4 linked regions of the Caenorhabditis elegans genome follow. The protein of the gene in region 1 purifies or fractionates together with the protein of each later gene. This does not show direct contact. Each region holds a gene or a part of one and is shown in the gene's direction. Other genes may lie near its edges. The genes, in order: C32F10.8, tkt-1, gta-1 and tald-1.

Region 1 (5,297 bases):
TTGGTAAAATTGTTATAAAATGGATTTTAAATAATTAATTATATTCAATGAAAAATTATATTCAATGAAAAAGCAGTAAAACATCGTGTCACATACGACGTAGATTAGGAAAAATAACGGGAAATGGCGGGATAAAGCTTCAAATGCCGATCCCCTTGGGATTAATCTGAAAATCTCTGTTCTTTTTCTTGTTCTTCTCTTCTCATGGTAAACTTTAATATAATTGAAAGGTTTTATGCTGCTAAATAACGGCAAAAGACTGAAAAATGAGAGCACGATGGAGACAATTTTAAAAGAGAGAAACGGCGGAGTTGTTTCGGGAAATTTGATGGAATATGTTGTTTGATCGAAAAAGAAAAGCGCTCGCTGCTCAAGCTGTCTGAATTTATGAGCACGCACCTTTTTTGGAATTCATTTTTATTGAATATAAACTGAAAAGTCGGTTAGGAAACATCTAGAAAATATCATCTGTAGAAAAGATGATTTTATATTGAAGAGCAAAAAAGTGACACAGAGGCGTTGCGAAAACAAAATATAAATAAATGTGCACTCGTGACTCGGTTTCCCTTTTCTGGGCAGAAAATTGGGTGGAAAGAACTTTGTGATATGAGAATTGGTCTTTAATTTATGATCAGTGGGGGTTTATTTTTCTGATGTTCCTCCGTAATATTACTCAAGGCTAATACTAAATGTTAGGAAACGTTTCAAGAAAATCTTTGTCTTGTAATCTACCACACCAACGAAGCTTTTCTCGTTTTCCTGTATATTTTTTGTTGACGCTGAAGATGGTTTTTAATTATTTGTTTTATTTCTAAAAGTTCGACATCATTTCTTCAACGAATTTTTTTCGAATTTCTACAATCGTTATCTAATTTGATCGAAATTTGACTTTTAATCTCCAACGGAATTGTGTTCAATGGACCGTTTCTTCAATGCCACGTGACTTTGAACTGTCAATCCTTATTTTCCTAGATCACAATAGACCTCCATCATCATTTTTCTCTCGAAAACCAAAAAAACCAGTTTCAAAAATCGAGCCATTGGCACGTAGTCCTCTGTCGGTTTATTTCGTTCCTCCCAATATTTCTCTCCCTCTCTTCAGTCTCTCTTGTTGTTTTTCAGTCCCTTCCTCCATCTCGGGGCCCCTTTCTTTCTCGTTCTTCAGCATTACATCGTAAAGAATAAACAAGGTGCCTCATCTGAAGAACAAGACCTGCCTTTTTTCGTTTTTTAAATTGATTGAAACTTCAAAGCGGCCATGATTCTTGGTTTCTTTTTATATTGCCAAAAAATAATGTTTATCCTTTTTTGTTTATAAAAAAGCTAAATATTGAGGTTTTTCCAAATTTCTGAATAACTTAATTTGTACTTCTTTTTACAAACATATTTAACTCGCATCTATTGATTATTTTTCTAAACATTTTAGCCATTTTTAAAATATTTTCAAGCTCTACTAATTGTTCTCTAAATTATTCTCTTTCACAAAAAAAGTTTTGTGTTTTTTGTGATCTTTGTTTCCAGCACATTTTTCTATTTTTAATCTTCTTTTTTTGCCCAATCAATGTGTGAAATTGTCGATAAGAGACAATAATTTGTTTCAGCAGCTTGTGCGAAAAACTTCATCGATCGCCTGTTCTCTCTTCCACTCTCAACACTTCGCTTTTTTATTGGTAAGTTCTAGAAAATTGAACTCGTGAAGTATTGGATGCTGAGAAAGTATTTTGGACTGTTTGGACAACATAAAATAGATGTTTAGATTTTCCTATTTAAAGTCGGGATTTTCCAAAAAAAAAACGTCTGCGAAAAAACTTCTACATAAGTTGGTTAGGCTCTCTGTAGAAAGTGGATAAGATGAAGGAATTAGAAAACTTAATTTCGTTAAATTGTTATATTTGTGATTATCTCGAATTTTGATTCTTTCAAACTTCTGTTTTAAATTTGCTCTACCGAAAATTATTACCAATTTTCGGATTTTTCGTTGTTTAACAATTCTTAATAACGCCTATTTTGCTAAACGCTGGAACACGTGTGAGACGGAAAATCAAGACAAGAACAATGAAAAAATGAGATAGAAAACAGATAGAACCGAGAGAAAAACAGAAAAGAATTAGATGCACTTGGCATTTGTTTGCCCCTTTTCCCCGCCTTCCGACTATGAAAAGCTTTTTTTCTACCAGTTAATCTCTTTGATATCAAGATTTCTACTTATTTATTGGAAACTAAATGTAATTTTTGTACGTAAATCCGGTGTCACATTTTTTTAAGTTTAAAATTTTGTGCTGCGGGATAGAGTTTGAAAAAAACGGAGAAAAGGGAAAATGTTATTATAATATATTACAATACGGCTTTTTTTTAAATGTTCACCTATATTTACTGTTTTCTGAAACTGTATTTTCTGCATTGTTTGCTCATTAAGTTCAAACTATCAACTTATTGCTTTTTGCGCGCACTCAGCTCGTCCTCAACCAACAAACACACGCGGCCTAAAGTTAGGTTCGTGCAAACGGTAGAACATTCTGAGTACTTACTGTCTCTCTCACTCGTGGACGTTATCAATCACACCCAGTTATCACTGTCTATCCTTCTATCCTCATATACATTTCTTTTAAATTAGTTGCAATTGAAATGATATCTTTTCAATTCACTTGTTATATCTCGATCTTTTAATTTTACAGCATGCGAACCGTACAAGCAATTTCCGGACTCGTCACAAGTCGCTTTTTCGGCACATCCACTAGAATCATGGCTAGCGGAAAGGTGAGCATTTATTAATTTGCAAAATGTGTCAGGAATCAGATGGACACTGAATAGCAAAATTTCAGAAATGTTAAAAGTTGTTACAATATTGGCAATTTTAATCGTTTTCGAAATAGTTGTGTATTTTTTGAACAAAGTATTTTTAAAAATTCAATTTCAGACTTTGAACACCTCCAACATCAATCCAAATGTTATCAAGATGGAGTATGCTGTTCGTGGACCAATCGTGATCCGTGCCGTGGAGCTTGAAAAAGAGCTTGCGACCGGTGCTCAGAAGCCATTCCCAAATGTCATCAAGGCTAATATTGGAGATGCTCATGCTATGGGTCAAAAGCCGATTACTTTCATTCGCCAGCTCCTCGCGTGTATTGTCAACCCAGAGATCATGAAAACGGACAAATCAATTCCATCTGATGTTATCGAACATGCAAATGCATTCCTTGGAAGTTGTGGAGGAAAATCCGCTGGAGCATACAGTCAGAGTACGGGAGTGGAAATTGTACGAAAACACGTGGCAGAGTATATTAAGAGACGTGATGGAGGAATTCCATGCAATTCAGAAGATGTCTGCTTGTCTGGAGGAGCTTCTGAATCAATCCGAAATGTTCTCAAACTTTTTATCAATCATAACAACGCAAAGAAAGTCGGAGTCATGATTCCAATTCCACAATATCCACTCTATTCTGCCACTATCGAAGAATTCGGACTTGGACAAGTTGGATACTATTTGAGTGAATCGTCTAATTGGTCCATGGATGAAGCTGAACTTGAAAGATCTTTCAATGATCACTGCAAAGAATACGATATTCGAGTTTTGTGTATCATCAATCCAGGAAATCCTACCGGACAAGCACTTTCTCGTGAAAATATTGAGACTATCATCAAGTTTGCACAAAAGAAGAACCTGTTCCTTATGGCTGATGAGGTTTATCAAGTAAGTTTTCGATAAAAATTTACACTCGATAATTTTCCACTATTTTCAATTAAAATTATTTTAAATCATAAACCATATTTTTTAATGAGGAAAATCACACTTTTCTATTAAAATAATGAGATTTAAAATATCATCTTCAGGACAACGTCTACGCTCAAGGATCGCAATTCCATTCATTCAAGAAGGTTCTTGTGGAGATGGGAGAGCCATACAATAAGTGAGCTTTTTTTCCTAAGCAGTTAAAAAACTCATAATATTAATTTGCAGAATGGAATTGGCTTCTTTCCATTCGGTATCCAAAGGATACATGGGAGAATGCGGAATGCGTGGAGGATATGTTGAATTCTTGAATCTCGACCCAGAAGTGTATGTCCTTTTCAAAAAAATGATCTCTGCCAAATTGTGCTCCACAGTACTCGGACAAGCCGTCATTGATGCCGTTGTGAATCCACCAAAGGAAGGAGATGCATCGTATGCTCTGTGGAAACAAGAAAAGGATGCAGTACTTGCTTCTCTTAAGGAACGTGCTACACTCGTCGAGAAGGCATACAGTAGCATTGATGGAATCAGCTGTAATCCAGTTCAAGGAGCCATGTACGCTTTCCCGCAAATCACGATTCCACAGAGAGCTGTTGAAAAAGCTCAGTCTTTGAACCAACAACCTGATTTCTTCTATGCTATGCAACTTCTTGAGACCACCGGAATCTGTATCGTGCCAGGAAGTGGATTTGGACAAAAAGACGGAACTTATCATTTCAGGTTTGTGATACTCTAATTCACATTTAATACAATAAATCTAGATTCATTGTTGGTAAATTCAATTTTTTCAGAACGACAATTCTTCCACAGCCAGAACTCTTCAAAGACATGCTCTCCCGGTTCACTGATTTCCACCAAAAATTCCTTGCCGAATACAAGTAGACTTTGAACAATGTCTAATATTCTTCTTTTCTCAATTTTCTCAGCTTTTTTTCTTCTATGTCACTTTTTGTTTCATAGCCAATATGATAGGGTCTAAATGCGTTTACTGTGTAGATTCGATTAATTTTAATTATTGCATTGATGAATTTTAACATTCTTTTTTTTGTAGAAGACTATACTGCCACTTTCACCTGACAAACAATAGGACCTCAGACAGTTTCTGGCACACTCTTATTGATGGATTCCCAAAATACAAGGTCTTTGTCCAGAACCGCCGTTCAACACAATGTGCATTCCACTCGATCCAATTGAGCAGATTCTAATTCACCTAAACGGAGGCCCAATCTGTGACAGTTTATGACCAAATATTCTGTTGCACAAACGTTACATAATCAGGTCAATCTGCCTGCACACACACAATGTTGCCGACTGACGTAACACAGAATGATAGTTTATTGGAGGAAAACAAATGGGCTCTCGAGATAACTGGAGTAGATTACGCAGTTTTGAAATATCGCAGTATTCTTCACTGTCTATCTAAAATCTTATAAAACCAAAAATTACCTCCAAATGGGTTTCTTGGAAAACTACATGGTTCGGAAAATTCGGAATTGTTTGGTATTTTCAATTTATTTTTGAAATTTTCATACACTATTTCCAATTCTTAGTTGGAAAAATTGTTGTT
Region 2 (4,332 bases), on another chromosome or scaffold:
GATTAGGTACTTTTCAATTACAAGTGAAGTATTTTTAATAGATTAAAACACCAAATGAACAAATTTCGCGTTTTCTATTTTAAAATTCATCTTCAATCTAGATATTGTAAATGTACATGTAAAACTATTCACATTTTAGGTTTTTTAAAATGGCATTTAGGTTTTAATATTTATGACGATAGCTACAGTAACCCTTGCTTGGCACACTCCCTCATACTTATATTTCACGTGGTGTCAGGTTGTAACGGTTTGATCTCCAAGAAATGCGGGAATTTTTTCCCCAAAAAAATGTGACGTCAGCACGTTCTTAACCATTCAAAATCAGTTGAGAACTCTACGTCTAAACTCCCGCATTTTTTGTAGATCACAACGAAATGGGACATTCTGACACCACGTGATATTTGAGTACTCAAGTTAACAATGAACAATTATTTTATGCTAAGTTTTATGTGGTACTTGTTTAAATTAATGACTGAAAATAGTGAATCATAAAATTGCACTCTATGCTGTAACTTTTTTGGGATTTAAAATTTTTAGGACAAAATATAATAAGTTCGATTTTTGCATCTCTTTTTATTATAACAATTTAATTAAAAATACTAGCATTTTTCTTTCCAGAAATCCCGATTATTCGTTTCTACACATTATCAGAATTTCTAGACCACTTCTAGACCTACAAACTTCGGTAGATCAAATATGGAAGAATTGATCTTGACCCAATTTGCGACAGCGCGTGGTTTCTGATTTCCTTTCTCTGCATATCTCGCCGGAGGCGAGAACGCTCATTCGGGTTCTTTTACTTACTTAACCCCAATTTTTATTTTCTTTATTTTCCGCATTTCTTTAACAGATTTTCGTAACTTTTTTTCTCAATAAATTCCCTATTAAGAGCATATTTTCTTTCCCCACGCACAATAAGTTAGCTCATATTTTAAATACCGATATCGATACTTTCTCGAGATTCCACCTTGGCGCCAAAAAGTTTCAAACGCGGGGCCTAGAAAACACAATGGCCGCGAAAGTTTTCATCATTTTTTTTGTGAGAAATCAGAGAGCGCTCGAGAGCGCCGCTGTTTTAGTCGGTAAACATTCTTTTTTGTGCGCAACGATCGAGAATTGTCACTGTTTTCATATACTGGTATATTTTGTAGTCATTGGATCTCCATTTTAATGAAAATTTCCTTCAGAACATCTGCGTCTCACTAGAAAGTTAGTGTTTCCGTTGTGATGAAACGCGTGTTGGGTTTTTTGGACATTGTCTTTTCATACTTTCAACGCAGAAGAAAGCGGTGTCTTTTTCCACGATTTTATATGTCCAAGAAAAACATTTTTAGGCCTGTCTTTTCAGTTCTTTATTTATTCAAAGTACAGAAACGAAGATGAAAACGTTAACGTTGCGCTGCCCGGTGTTCTTTAGAATGACATTTTTTGCCAACACTTTGCAATTTTTGCCTGAATTTTGAGTTGTTTTCTCGGCCAGTCTCCTGTTTTATGCAGTGGTACCATTAGTAAATAATAGATAAGAAAATGGTGGTGCGTTGAGATGATAATGATACTAGTTGATAACGATAAGGTGTATGTCTCTCCCTGTGTGAAACGGCCGACGATTCACTATTTTCTTCGAGAATGTTCTTTGCCGTTCTTATTCTGAAAATTTTAACATTCTCCCAAAAATCCATTATTTTTGCAGGAGAATGACCGTTTCGGAGCAACTTCGCAATGATTTGGAAGACGCTGCCAACCGCATGCGTATTTCCTCGATCGAGATGACTTGCGCAAGCAAAAGTGGACATCCCACGTCTTCTACGTCTGCTGGTAAGAATTATTCAACATTTACTCGAATCCGATAAATTTCAACATTTTCAGCCGAGATTATGTCAACTCTGTTCTTCTCGGAGATGAAGTACGATGTCGCAGAGCCAAAATCAGCATCTGCCGATCGTTTTGTTCTCTCCAAGGGACACGCTTGCCCAATTCTCTACGCTGCGTGGGAAGAGGCCGGTCTTCTGAGCCATGAGCAAGTGCTCTCTCTCCGCAAAATCGACTCGGACATCGAAGGACACCCCACTCCTCGCTTGAACTTCATCGATGTTGCTACAGGATCTCTCGGACAAGGACTTGGAGTTGCCACTGGCATGGCTTACGTCGGAAAGTACATTGACAAAGCCAGCTACCGCGTCTTCTGCCTTCTCGGAGATGGTGAATCTGCTGAAGGATCTGTCTGGGAAGCTGCTGCTTTTGCTTCAATCTACAAGCTCGACAATCTCGTTGCTATTGTCGATGTCAACAGACTGGGACAAAGTCAAGCCACTTCTCTTGGACATGACGTAGAGACCTACAAAGCTCGCTTTGCCGCTTTCGGATTCAATGCCATTATTGTCAACGGACACAATGTTGATGAGCTCTTGGCCGCATATGAGACTGCTCGTTCCACCAAGGGAAAGCCAACCGCCATCATCGCCAAGACTTTGAAGGGAAAAGGAATCGAAGGAATTGAAAACGAGGACAATTGGCATGGAAAGCCAGTCCCAGAGGGAACAGTAAGTTTGACGTGAGAATGAAATAGTCTCATATTAAAAATTTCAGGTCAATGCCATCAAGGCTAGATTCCACGGAAGCCAAAAGGGAAAGCTCGTTGCTCAAAAGCCAATCAATGACGCCCCTGCTATTGATCTCCATGTTGGATCCATCAAAATGGCTGCCCCAGAATACAAGAAGGGAGACAAGGTCGCCACAAGAGCCGCTTACGGAACTGCACTTGCTAAGCTTGGAGATGCTAGTCCACGTGTCATTGGTCTTGATGGAGATACCAAGAACTCTACTTTCTCTGACAAACTTCTTAAGAAGCACCCAGATCAATTCATTGAGTGCTTCATTGCCGAACAGAATCTTGTCGGTGTAGCTGTGGGAGCGCAATGCCGTGACCGCACAATTCCATTCACCAGCACATTCGCTGCATTCTTCACCCGAGCCACTGATCAGATCCGTATGGCCGCTGTTTCATTTGCTAATCTCAAATGCGTTGGATCTCACGTCGGAGTCTCAATTGGAGAAGATGGACCAAGTCAAATGGCTCTCGAAGATCTTGCAATTTTCCGTACTATCCCAGGAGCAACTGTTTTCTACCCAACCGACGCCGTGTCTGCTGAAAGAGCAACAGAGTTGGCTGCCAACACAAAAGGAGTTGTTTTCATTCGTACCGGCCGCCCCGCACTTCCAGTTCTCTACGACAATGAAGAGCCATTCCACATTGGACAAGCCAAGGTTGTGAAGCAGTCAGCCCAAGATAAAATTGTTCTTGTCGGATCGGGAGTCACTTTGTACGAGTCATTGAAGGCCGCTGAGGAGTTGGAGAAAGAAGGTTTGTTTTTTTTGTTACGTTTTACTTTTTAAAGTTTTATTTTCAAAAAGAAACTGTATTTGAAACTAAAAATTATGTTTTCAGGAATTCACGCCACTGTTATCGATCCATTCACCATCAAGCCACTGGATGGAAAGACCATCGCCGAGCACGCTCTGAAAGTTGGAGGACGAGTTGTTACTACCGAAGACCACTACGCAGCTGGAGGAATAGGAGAAGCTGTTTCCGCTGCTCTCGCTGATTATCCAACGATTCGTGTCAGATCATTGAATGTCAAGGAAGTTCCACGCTCCGGACCACCAGATGCTCTCGTGGACATGTACGGAATCTCTGCTCGTCACATCGTTGCCGCCGTCAAGAACTTCCAATAATGTATTTTTAATGCCTCGTATTATAGTATTATATAGCTTTCCTTTATGTTTACTTGAAATGGTTGTGAATTTACAGCAAAATGAAACAATTTAAAAAAAGGTGCATCGCAGTTTGTATAAGCTTCTCGCACGCGTCTAGACAATAAGAAGGCCGTTTCGCGGGCATTGGATGTTTTGTGGCGAGGCGATGACGGGGATCGAAACCTGTTCGGTACCCGAATTGATACACTTCTCATCTACATCTTCTTGTCGTTTCTGAGAATAAGCGATACAGAAGATGAACACTCACGGCTTCTTAGTCTTTTTCCTCTTTCCGCTCCTCACTTTTTCATTTTCCTTTCAATTTCATGATTTCTCTTTTTAGGAACTGATCAATATTTCTGATATGAGGATTTCTCTTTTTTAGACGGTTCTTTCAAATAAAGACCAAAGTTTTCAATTTTTATATTTATATAACGTTACTAGCAGTATGCAAACATGAAATGAGTTTTTATTTATTTTTCCAGTTATGAGAGTTCTACTATTATTTGGATTCTGTGTACCATGGCTTTCATCGGGACAAGAAATCACTCGGGATTATTCTCCACTTCTTGATGTAAG
Region 3 (5,557 bases), on another chromosome or scaffold:
CTGTAAATCTCGGAGAAATCGCACAGGCAGCAGAAGGTCTTAGTGGAAGTGATTTGAAAGAGGTTCGTGCTTTTTTTCTTTTTAAAATTTTAATCAAATATATTACATCCCCGAAATGGTCGTAATATTATTAGTTCGCTTTGTGGCTATATATGTCACATATATTCTAGTGGAATTCGGTAACGAAATATTTAATATAAATCTGTTCAACATGAAAAATTGTAGACAATAATATATCTTGGATTTCCTATAAAATCCAATACATTTTTAACATGAATTAATAGTGAAACAGCAAATAAGTATATGTGTTTTTATTGAAAACTACGAAAACTCGATTAAACTTTTGCAACAACGAGAGTTTGAAATTACAGTACTCTTTAAAGGTACACACCTTTTCATAGTTAACATAAAATTTCGTGTCGAGAATATTTGGGGCAGAAATCGCAAAGTTTTGCGAGCTTCATGAGAATAAATTGCTGTTTCACAATTAATTCATGTTTCTAATGTGAAAAATGCATTGGATTTTAAAGGAAAAATGTAATTTGTAATATGATAAAATGTAATATAATTGTCTACAGTAACCTTAAAGGAAAAAAAAATACAAATAAAAACATTAGTGAAGAGAATTGTATATATTTAATACAAGTTGTTCTAATAGTGAGCTTGAAAAAACTTACAATTTTGAATTTAATTTTAAAAAAACTCATTTAAATTATTTCAACTTCTTCCAAAATCATCTAAAAATATTTAGAAGTTAGATACACAATAATTAGCTTAAAAAATAATACGCGTTCGAAAATTTTAAGTTTTTATGTTACAGGAAAATGAAACGCCAATAATCGTGTTGTTATGTAATTTTTCAGGTTTGTCGTCTTGCTCTTCTCGCTCGAGCAAAAGCTACTGTAGCTTCTGGAGGTTCCGTAAATCAACTTCTTCCATTGGAACAGTCCGATTTTGAGTCAGCAGTGCATAAATATATGAGAGCCGCACATTTACTTGTTGAAGAAACACTTGATTAGTCTTAAAAGTTCAAGAAACGAATGTTTTATTTCATGTAAACTTCTATTTCTTTTTCTCTAAAAGTAGTCCATTCGTTCTTGTAGGTCTCAATTTATTATACCTTTTTGTAGTATAAAGCTAAAGAAATGTAACGGTGCTTTGACTTAAAATCGAAAATCTTTTTTTTTATTCCCCGGAGCTTCTAGAACAGATTCAAAAACTAATATTTCTGATTCCTGATTTTTTACTTCCCTATTCTTATGTATTGCATTGATTTAATAAGTACGTTTAGATTACCGGTTAGATTGTATTCTCTTTTTCTCTTTTCTTTCACTTGTCGATATCTCCAGAATCTGAAGAAACAATAAATCGATCACGTGACCCCATCTCTTTGTGTCAGTTGTCCTTCCGATTACACCCTTCGTGCTCTGCGAGCCTTTTTCTTTGCACAACGTGGAGCAAGTTTACACCATTCACAGGCTCAATATAAACGTCTTCCATTGGCTTCCAATTTTTCAGTTTACTTCTTCAAACAATTTTCACTAGAAAACGCATTTATTTCCTTCACTAAAAAACATAAGCTCCTCCCCCTGCCTTTCTCTGCGTCTCGTTTGACGCCTAAAAAGAGAAAACGGGAGAAAAAATTATTCGGTTTTCTCCTGCCACTTCAAATTTTACTCTTCTTTCTCTTTGTTTTTTTCAAATCGATTTTCGAATAATTTGAATAGTTTTTTTCAGAAGGAAGAATGCTTCCCAGACTGGCAAAGTCATCTTTAATCCAACAGGGTAAACCAATTAATATATTTTGGATTCAACTGGGATTTATTTAGGAAATAATTTAACATATAATTTTTGATTTTGAAAAACCTAACCTGCAGCTTTTTAGTTCTTCTAGATACATTCATTTTCAACCCTTTTTACTTGCATCTTTGACCTAAAACACATTGAAAAAGAAACAAACAACACTTTTTTGATTCTCTTATCAGTTTATCAGTATCACAAACATTAACGAAGGCAATTGATTTTTCTCGAGTAAAACCGAATAGGGAAAAGATCAGAAAAACTGAACGATAAAATCGAAGTTTTGGTAAATTGGCAGGTATTTTGATATTCACCACATGTTTCAATTTGGAAGATTAAAAAAACAAAATTTTCTGAAATTTTAAAAAAATACTAAAACACTTCAACACCATGAGAATGTTTCCAAAAAATGCTCTGACTCAATTGAAACGTTTATTTTAGTGCGTGGAGTTTCGGCGATTGCAAATGCCGAGCCATCTGGACCTAGTATTTCAACGAGCATTCCTGGACCAAAGTCAAAGGCGTTGAAACAGGAAATGGATAAAGTTCATGTAAGAATTGAGATATCGAAAGTTAAATGGTTTTTTTAAACATCATGGACCTTAAAATACCTTCAAATTGTGATAACTTATTTTTTATATCTATTCTAAATCTTATACGCTCATTATGTATTGGTTTTAGTTTTTGACAATTATTCAGTGGCGAAATCGCTTGAAATTACTTTTCAAACAAAAACTTTGGCTGAACTTTCTGACAACTTGCTCAACAGAAGCTCAACATTGTCAATTTGATTCTAAATTATTAAGAATTATAAGATAGATAAATTATAATTTTAGATTACAAAACATTATTAGCTATTTAATGGTCACACAATTGCGAAGAATTTCGAGCCATTCAGTTCAATTTTCAAATCAAAAACCAACATCTCAACTCCGTAATTACATGAACATCACATTCTTACCCTTATCACAGAACGAATGAAATTCGTCTCAGAAATATTACACTTTCTCTGGTCAACTGACAACTGACATTCAGGAGTTTTGATTATTTGATTTTAGTTTTTTTAATTTCAAATCTTCAATTTCATTGATAATACAAAAAATAAAATAATATTTCAAGGAAATTTAAATTTTATACATATTGTCAAAAATACTGTAGTTATGAAACATATGAATCATTCCAAATGCAATATGAGATTTCAAAATTTTATAAAAATTAAAAAAATTTTTTTTCAGCAAACTACATCCGTTCGTTTCCATGTCGACTACGAGAAATCATTCGGAAATTACGTTGTAGATGCTGATGGTTAGTTTTTATTTTCAGTTTACACACCAGGATTTAATTTAGGAAATGCACTTCTCGATGTCTATACTCAAATATCATCTCTTCCTTTGGGATACAATCATCCAGATTTGGTTAAGGTCGCTTCGCAGCCACATTTGATTGTGAGTTTTTATAAATTGATTTCAAAATCAATTTTTGAACCTCTTACAATCAATTGGAGCATTCGAACTTAGCCTTCCATGTACGCATGAAAATGTTTTACGCCGCATCCGCATTCAGGCACAAATACAGAAATTAGGCGGTAGGCAGTCAGGCAGGCAGGAGGAAGGCACATAATGACCATATTTTCACATTAACCGTACACCTAGAAACCAGTAAAAAATTAAATATTAAGTGATTTGCCTGTCTGTAATATTTGGATAAAACTAAAGAAAACAAGATACTTACTGAAAAGTTGAGAAATGTATTAGAAAATAAATTTTCAGACATCTCTTGTTTCTCGTCCAGCTCTTGGATCCTTCCCACGTACCGACTTTGCTGATGGAATTTCTCATGCTCTTACATCAATTGCTCCAAAAGGATTGAAGGCAGTTCAAACAATGCTTTGCGGTACATCGGCCAACGAGAATGCAATCAAAACTGCATTTATCTGGTATCAAGCTCAGAGAAGAGGAGGTCTTGGACCAGATGCTCTTCATTTGGAAAGCTGCATGAATCAACAGAAACCAGGAACTCCAAATCTTTCAGTTATGGGATTTGAAGGAGCTTTCCATGGAAGATCTTTGTGCATGTTGTCGGTTACCAGAAGTAAGCCAATTCATAAGGTATTTCAAAGTTTTATTTCGAAACAATTCTAATTAATTATTTTCAGGTTGATATTCCAGCATTTGACTGGCCAATTGCCAAGTTCCCCCGTTATAAGTATCCACTTGACCAGAATGTTGCATACAATAAGAAGCAAGATCAGGAGTGTCTTGCTGACGTTGAAGCGAAGATTTCCGAATGGAAACGTCGTGATAATGATGTAGCTGCAATTATTGTTGAACCAATTCAAGCAGAAGGTGGAGATCATTATGGAAGTCCAGCATTCTTCCAAGGCCTCCGTGATATTACTTCTAAACATGGAATTGTATTCATTGTTGATGAAGTTCAAACTGGAGGTGGAGCAACTGGAGATATCTGGGCTCATGATCACTGGAACTTGAGCTCTCCACCAGATATGGTCACATTCTCAAAGAAACTTTTGACAGGAGGATACTTCTACGGAGAACATCTCCGAGTTAAGGAGGCTTACCGTATTTACAACACATGGATGGGAGATCCGACCAAGCTTCTTCTTTTGGAAAAGGCTGTTGAGGTTATTAAGAGAGATGGATTGATTGAGCAGAGCAGAGAAGTTGGAGCTGAATTCCAAAAGAGACTTGGAGAACTTCAAGCATCGTCTGGAGGAAAGTTGGATCAAGCCAGAGGAAGAGGAACTTTTGCCGCCGTTGACTTCCCATCTGGATCTTTGAGAGACAAATTTGTTGACTTGGTAAGCAGAATTAATAGTGATAAATGTCAAATTCAGCCATCTTACATTTATATATTAAATTTCTTAAACTTCAATTTAATTTTAGGCCATCAGCAACGGACTTCACTGTGGAGGATGTGGAGACCGTTCACTTCGTTTCCGTCCATCACTCGTCTACACCAAAAAACATTTGGATCTGACTTTCGATCTTCTCGACAAGACTTTGAAGGGATTGTAATCATTTTTTCTTTTGTTTTCTCTTTAAAGCTGTATCCATTTTATTTGCTTCGCTGACCATCTAGCTTGTTATTATTTCAAAATATAATTAATAAATTAAATATTCATTTATAATGACACCGGAAATTGATTTTTTATTGTTTCTTCTCGGGAAGTTATACTTCGGATCGATTCCAATTGAATTTATAAATTTTTAGACACGTGTTCCTCCGACTAGCTGTGACATCTTTTCATAGATTATCTCGATTTCTTGCTGAAAACAAAATAATTTGGTATTGGAAAATGAGATAATTCGATTTTCACCTTCGAGGCAAAAATACCACACTGAATTTCGGTATACGATGAAAGAACCTGTACCACGTCAACACAACCCGTTGTCTCCAGTTGACACGCTAAAGTTGTGGCTGCACAAATACTGAATGCAAGTGCTGTATCATCTGAATATTCATCAATTTTGTTATAAATATAATATAATTAAAGTTTAAAGTATTTACAGATCATAGTATGTACGTTTCTACGCACACTACCATTTTTAAACTAGAACCAAAGGGGTTTTTATAAACTCCAAATTTGTGTTACAAAATTTTTTTGAACCAAAAATATTGATAGATATCAAGCTATACTCACCATTAAACAAAATAGAAAGTGATAATGTAGAAGTACTATCTGTTGGTGATGGAACACTTGGTGGGTATTTATGAGCCAGAATAAGCAATGGAGCAT
Region 4 (4,552 bases), on another chromosome or scaffold:
AAATTTTCATTCAAAAAATCACATTTTCAACATTCCAGGATTTTTTTAGCTAGAAATCGGGGCAATTTAGTGAAAATTTGCCAATTTTGGTTTAAAAAATCAACATTTTCACCCAAAACTTGTAATTGGCATGTTTAAAATTTCAAAATCAGACGATTTCAGTTGAAATCTGCTATTTTTGACTGGAAATATGTTTTTTTTCAAAAATATCCCAGTTTTAGATTATTATGGGTATTTTTTAAAGAAAAATCCAATTAAAAAAATATACATTTTCCATTTTATTTGAAGTTACACTCTGAAAAAAAAATTGTTTTCGAGGTGACGTAGCACCATGCATTTTCAACATTTTCCTCCAAAATTAGTGTCAAAGTATAGAAAATTAGTTGATTTATCTGAAAATGACATTTATTCGACTGAAAATTTGAGAAATTGCTCAAAAAAGGCCAGAAAGTTGACAATTGCCGAAATTAGTCAACTTTCAAGCCATTTCTGGGCATTTTCTCGAAGGCTTCAGCTGAAATTAATGTTATTTTCAAATAAATCGAGTGATTTTTCATATTTTTAAACTAATTTCAAGTTGTAAAAATGTTGGAACAACATGGTGCAACAGACCATTTTCTAGAATTGCCGCTCATTTAAAATACCCAAAAAATGTGTGAAATTTGATCATATTTGACTACAAAAAACGTTTTTTTTAATTTTAATTTTTTAAAAACTGGTAATTTTCCATTCTCGATATTGAACAAACGCCGAGGTTACGGTAATTATAGGATTTTCAGCAAAAATTTGCTTTTAAAATTACAAAAGTTTTTTTTTCGTTATTTCAGTCTTCTATGGCCGATTATTTGTATATTTTTAGGTCTGAAATTTAAATTTCAGTAGACTTTTTTGGCATTTTGACGATTTTCGCTTCAATTTTGACCTAAAAATCGATAATTTCACATTTTTAAATAATTTTTTGCGGAAAACTGTCTGAAAATGTGAGAAATTGTGTTTAAAATAATATTTAAAAAATGAAACAAAAAATTGAAACTAGGTCAAAATATTCGAAAGGAATTTCGCAAATAAATTTCAAAACTCAATAAATTTTCCAATTTTTGAAGATTTTTCCTTTTTTTCGTGTTAAAATTCCCAAAAAAATGTGTGAAATTTGATCATATTTGACTACAAAGAACAATATTTACTTTCTTTTTTTTCTCGAAAACCCCCCGATTCTCTTGCCATTTGCCCCCATAAAACTGCTGACAATTTCCAATTTTTCCTGCAGGTACTCACGCCATACCTCGCCCTGTTCCCGTTCCCATTCTACGCTCTCGTCAAATCAGTTCAACAACTACCATCGGTGATTGCCGAATCGATTCGTCAATGGTTCGAAATGACGACGACACATCATAGTTGAGAGGCTACAAACTACAGACTGCAAACTACACACATTTAGTCATATTCTTGTTTTTTTGTTACTACTTTACTTTATACCTTTTTATCATCATTTTTGTTACTTTTTTTCGAAAACTGTTTTTCTCACTTCCCTACTCCTTTTATCGTCATTTTTTTATGAGTTGTTACTTTTTTTTTGAAATTTTCCCCCTTTTTTGTTATTTTTTGTTCATTGTTCATTGTTTTCACATTGGTTAGTCGAATTATCATTATCATTATATCTATTAAAAATTTGAAATTTTTTTGATACGGTTTTTGTTATCTTTGATGCTATCAATGGGCTGCACTTTCCATTCGATCTCTCTCACGCGATTTTTCCCGTAATTTTCACGATTATTGATTTTTTTTTGACTTTTTCTAGGGAAATCATGTCGGTTTTGGAACAACTCAAAGGAGCATCAGTCGTTGTTGCGGATACTGGAGATTTTAATGGTAAAAATTTTGAACATTAAGAAAAAGTTCGAAAATGTGGTGAATAATTGATTTTTTTTGGCAGTTTTGAAAAAAAATTAAATTATCTGAAAATTCGATTTTTCTAGGAAGACCACTGTTATAATGTAAAAAACAGTAAATTTCTCGATTTTCAGATAGAAATCTGACTTTTTGAACTTTTTAAATTAATTTTTTTAGAGAAAAAAATACATATTTTCAAGAAGTTTCCAAAAAATTCGTTAAAACATTTTAAAAATAAATACTATTAAATTTTATGGAAGTATTGTAAATTTCTGGAATGTGCCATTTAAAAATTAGAATTTTTCAAAAATTCCAAAAAAAGCTGTGAAAAACTTTTTTTGGATAATTCGATGAATTCTCTTTTTTCTAAATTTTTGTAAATACTGGTGAAAAATATTTATTTTGAAAAAAATGTGTTTGCGCCTTTCAAAAGTACAGTACCCAGACGTTCCTTCAATTTCGTTTTTTTTTTCATTTTTCAACGTTTTCTCTCAAGAATTTAGATGAAAAGCGTGAAAAATTAATTTAAAAAATCAGGAAATGGGTTACTGTAAGTCTTAAAGGCGCACACCTTTGTTTTTTTCCTCGATTTTGTGTAAAAAGTCAAAAATCGAAAAATAAAACTCGAATTTTCCAGTTGAAAAAAGTACTTTTTTCAAAAATTGTTCTCAAAAAATCGATTTTTTTCAGCGATCAAGGAATTCCAGCCAACAGATGCAACTACCAACCCATCGCTCATCCTGGCCGCCTCAAAAATGGAGCAATACGCAGCATTAATCGATCAATCAGTTGCCTACGCAAAAGAGCACGCCAGTGGACATCAAGAAGTGCTCCAAGCGGCTATGGATCGACTTTTTGTAGTTTTTGGAAAAGAAATCCTGAAAACTATTCCAGGAAGAGTTTCCACAGAAGTTGATGCTCGTCTTTCATTTGATACTCAAGCATCGATTGATCGGGCTCTTGGACTTATTGCTCAATACGAGAAGGAAGGAATCTCGAAGGATCGGATTCTTATCAAACTTGCTTCAACTTGGGAAGGAATTCGGGCTGCTAAGTACGGCATTGGAGATTTTAGGAAAACTTTTCAGTTAAAAAACTTTTTTTTAAAAATCAAACTTGATGAAATTTTACCCATTTTTGATGATTTGCTTGGTTTAAAACACTACTAGTTTCGAAAAAATCAATTAAAAAACGAATTATACAAGATGAAATTGTTAAAAATTAACACATTTTAAATTAAAAACTAGAAATGCTTCGATTTTTCTTGTAAATCACCTAAAATCTACGGACATACCTTTTCGAAACATACAAAGTCTCGTTTCTATTAGTTTTCTACTGAAAATCTACTCAATTGGACCCAAATTGACATTTTTCAAAAGAGTTTAAGGCATTAATTATAACGGAAATAGTTCAAAATCAGCAAAAAATTAAATTTTCAGATTCCTCGAATCTAAGCACGGAATCCACTGCAACATGACACTGCTCTTCAACTTTGAGCAAGCAGTCGCGTGTGCCGAGTCAGGAGTCACCCTAATCTCGCCATTCGTCGGAAGAATCATGGATTGGTTCGTGAAGAATACCGATCAGAAGGCCTACACTCGAAAAGACGATCCAGGAGTTGTCAGTGTTACTCGAATCTTTAATTATTACAAGAAATACGACTATAAGACACAAGTGATGGCTGCCTCGTTCCGTAATACTGAAGAGATCAAGGGACTTGTTGGATGTGATCTTCTTACTATTTCTCCGGCTCTTCTGAAGCAACTTGCTGCGGAGACGGAACTTGCTCCAGTTGTGCTCTCCACTTCTCATGGTGAGCGGGAGATTTAATCAATTAAAAATTGCAATTTTTAATTATTTTCCAGCCAAGACACTCGACCTGCCGAAAGTGAGCATTGACGAGAAGGCGTTCAGATGGGCTCTCAACGAGGACGCCATGGCCACCGAGAAGCTCGCCGAAGGAATCCGCAACTTTGCCAAAGACGCCAGAACTCTGGAGAAGCTTATCGAGGCAAAGATCTAAATTGTATTGATTGATGTATTTGTCGTGCTTACTAGTTTTCCCCAATTTCATCAGTGTTGTGATTTCCCCTTAAATATTTCGTTACGTATTTTAATGAACCCTTATGTAATTTAAAGAGCACTGTAAAGGCAAGATACACAAAATAGCCGAACTCTTATCGCACTCTGCAAGTTTCTGGACAGTTGTGGCTGTGACACCCGGAATTGAACCCAACTAGAATTGTTCAGTGAAACCATATCGCAGACAACCAGCAAGCTCCAAGACAACGACGAACTAGGGAGACACTTCTCGGGAAAACTGTTCTCAACAATATCCAACAAGACCGATCCAAATGAGTACCACGAAGACTACCAATTATTGAAAAAGATACAAGCTTTGAATAACAAGTTTTTATTATCAACAAAAACAATTTAGAGCTTTCCAAGATCACGGGCACGAGCGCGCTCGATCTTGAGCTTCTTGGCATCAGACTTGGCGGACATGACACCTCCTCCCCAGTGCTTGCGGATCTCCTCGTGACGCTCGCTGAAGTTGTTGTTGACGGTCTCGACGAGCTTGTTCAAGGCAGATTTGTCCTCTCTGAATACAAAGAAATAATTATTTGCTCAAGAAACTATAGAATCTGAAACTTACGGGTTG

Evidence for each region.
Region 2: the proteins of C32F10.8 (region 1) and tkt-1 fractionate together in Caenorhabditis elegans (co-fractionation; one large-scale study listed by BioGRID). This does not show direct contact.
Region 3: the proteins of C32F10.8 (region 1) and gta-1 fractionate together in Caenorhabditis elegans (co-fractionation; one large-scale study listed by BioGRID). This does not show direct contact.
Region 4: the proteins of C32F10.8 (region 1) and tald-1 fractionate together in Caenorhabditis elegans (co-fractionation; one large-scale study listed by BioGRID). This does not show direct contact.

The regions. Positions count from the first base shown.
Region 1 is NC_003279.8:5,822,453-5,827,749, reverse strand, and holds C32F10.8 (alanine transaminase), read left to right. Parts: upstream 1-1,601; 5' UTR 1,602-1,670; intron 1,671-1,861; exon of another isoform or gene 1,862-2,030; intron 2,031-2,675; 5' UTR 2,676-2,676; coding exon 2,677-2,757; intron 2,758-2,917; coding exon 2,918-3,691; intron 3,692-3,831; coding exon 3,832-3,908; intron 3,909-3,958; coding exon 3,959-4,450; intron 4,451-4,521; coding exon 4,522-4,612; 3' UTR 4,613-4,768; downstream 4,769-5,297.
Region 2 is NC_003282.8:10,241,922-10,246,253, forward strand, and holds tkt-1 (transketolase), read left to right. Parts: upstream 1-1,690; 5' UTR 1,691-1,694; coding exon 1,695-1,815; intron 1,816-1,866; coding exon 1,867-2,540; intron 2,541-2,586; coding exon 2,587-3,361; intron 3,362-3,445; coding exon 3,446-3,732; 3' UTR 3,733-3,786; downstream 3,787-4,332. Other genes in the region: F01G10.10 (BPI2 domain-containing protein), read left to right, coding at 4,241-4,327.
Region 3 is NC_003282.8:10,178,923-10,184,479, forward strand, and holds gta-1 (putative 4-aminobutyrate aminotransferase, mitochondrial), read left to right. Parts: upstream 1-1,737; 5' UTR 1,738-1,745; coding exon 1,746-1,785; intron 1,786-2,241; coding exon 2,242-2,351; intron 2,352-3,035; coding exon 3,036-3,105; intron 3,106-3,147; coding exon 3,148-3,245; intron 3,246-3,569; coding exon 3,570-3,908; intron 3,909-3,955; coding exon 3,956-4,618; intron 4,619-4,703; coding exon 4,704-4,835; 3' UTR 4,836-5,017; downstream 5,018-5,557. Other genes in the region: mspn-1 (Mitochondrial sorting homolog), read left to right, coding at 1-62, 864-1,019; ptrg-1 (Tyrosine-protein phosphatase 4), read right to left, coding at 5,028-5,087, 5,138-5,271, 5,462-5,557.
Region 4 is NC_003282.8:4,384,853-4,389,404, forward strand, and holds tald-1 (Transaldolase), read left to right. Parts: upstream 1-1,798; 5' UTR 1,799-1,805; coding exon 1,806-1,869; intron 1,870-2,580; coding exon 2,581-2,944; intron 2,945-3,329; coding exon 3,330-3,703; intron 3,704-3,755; coding exon 3,756-3,913; 3' UTR 3,914-4,028; downstream 4,029-4,552. Other genes in the region: F55F10.1 (Midasin), read left to right, coding at 1,268-1,399; rpl-7A (Large ribosomal subunit protein eL8), read right to left, coding at 4,324-4,492, 4,547-4,552.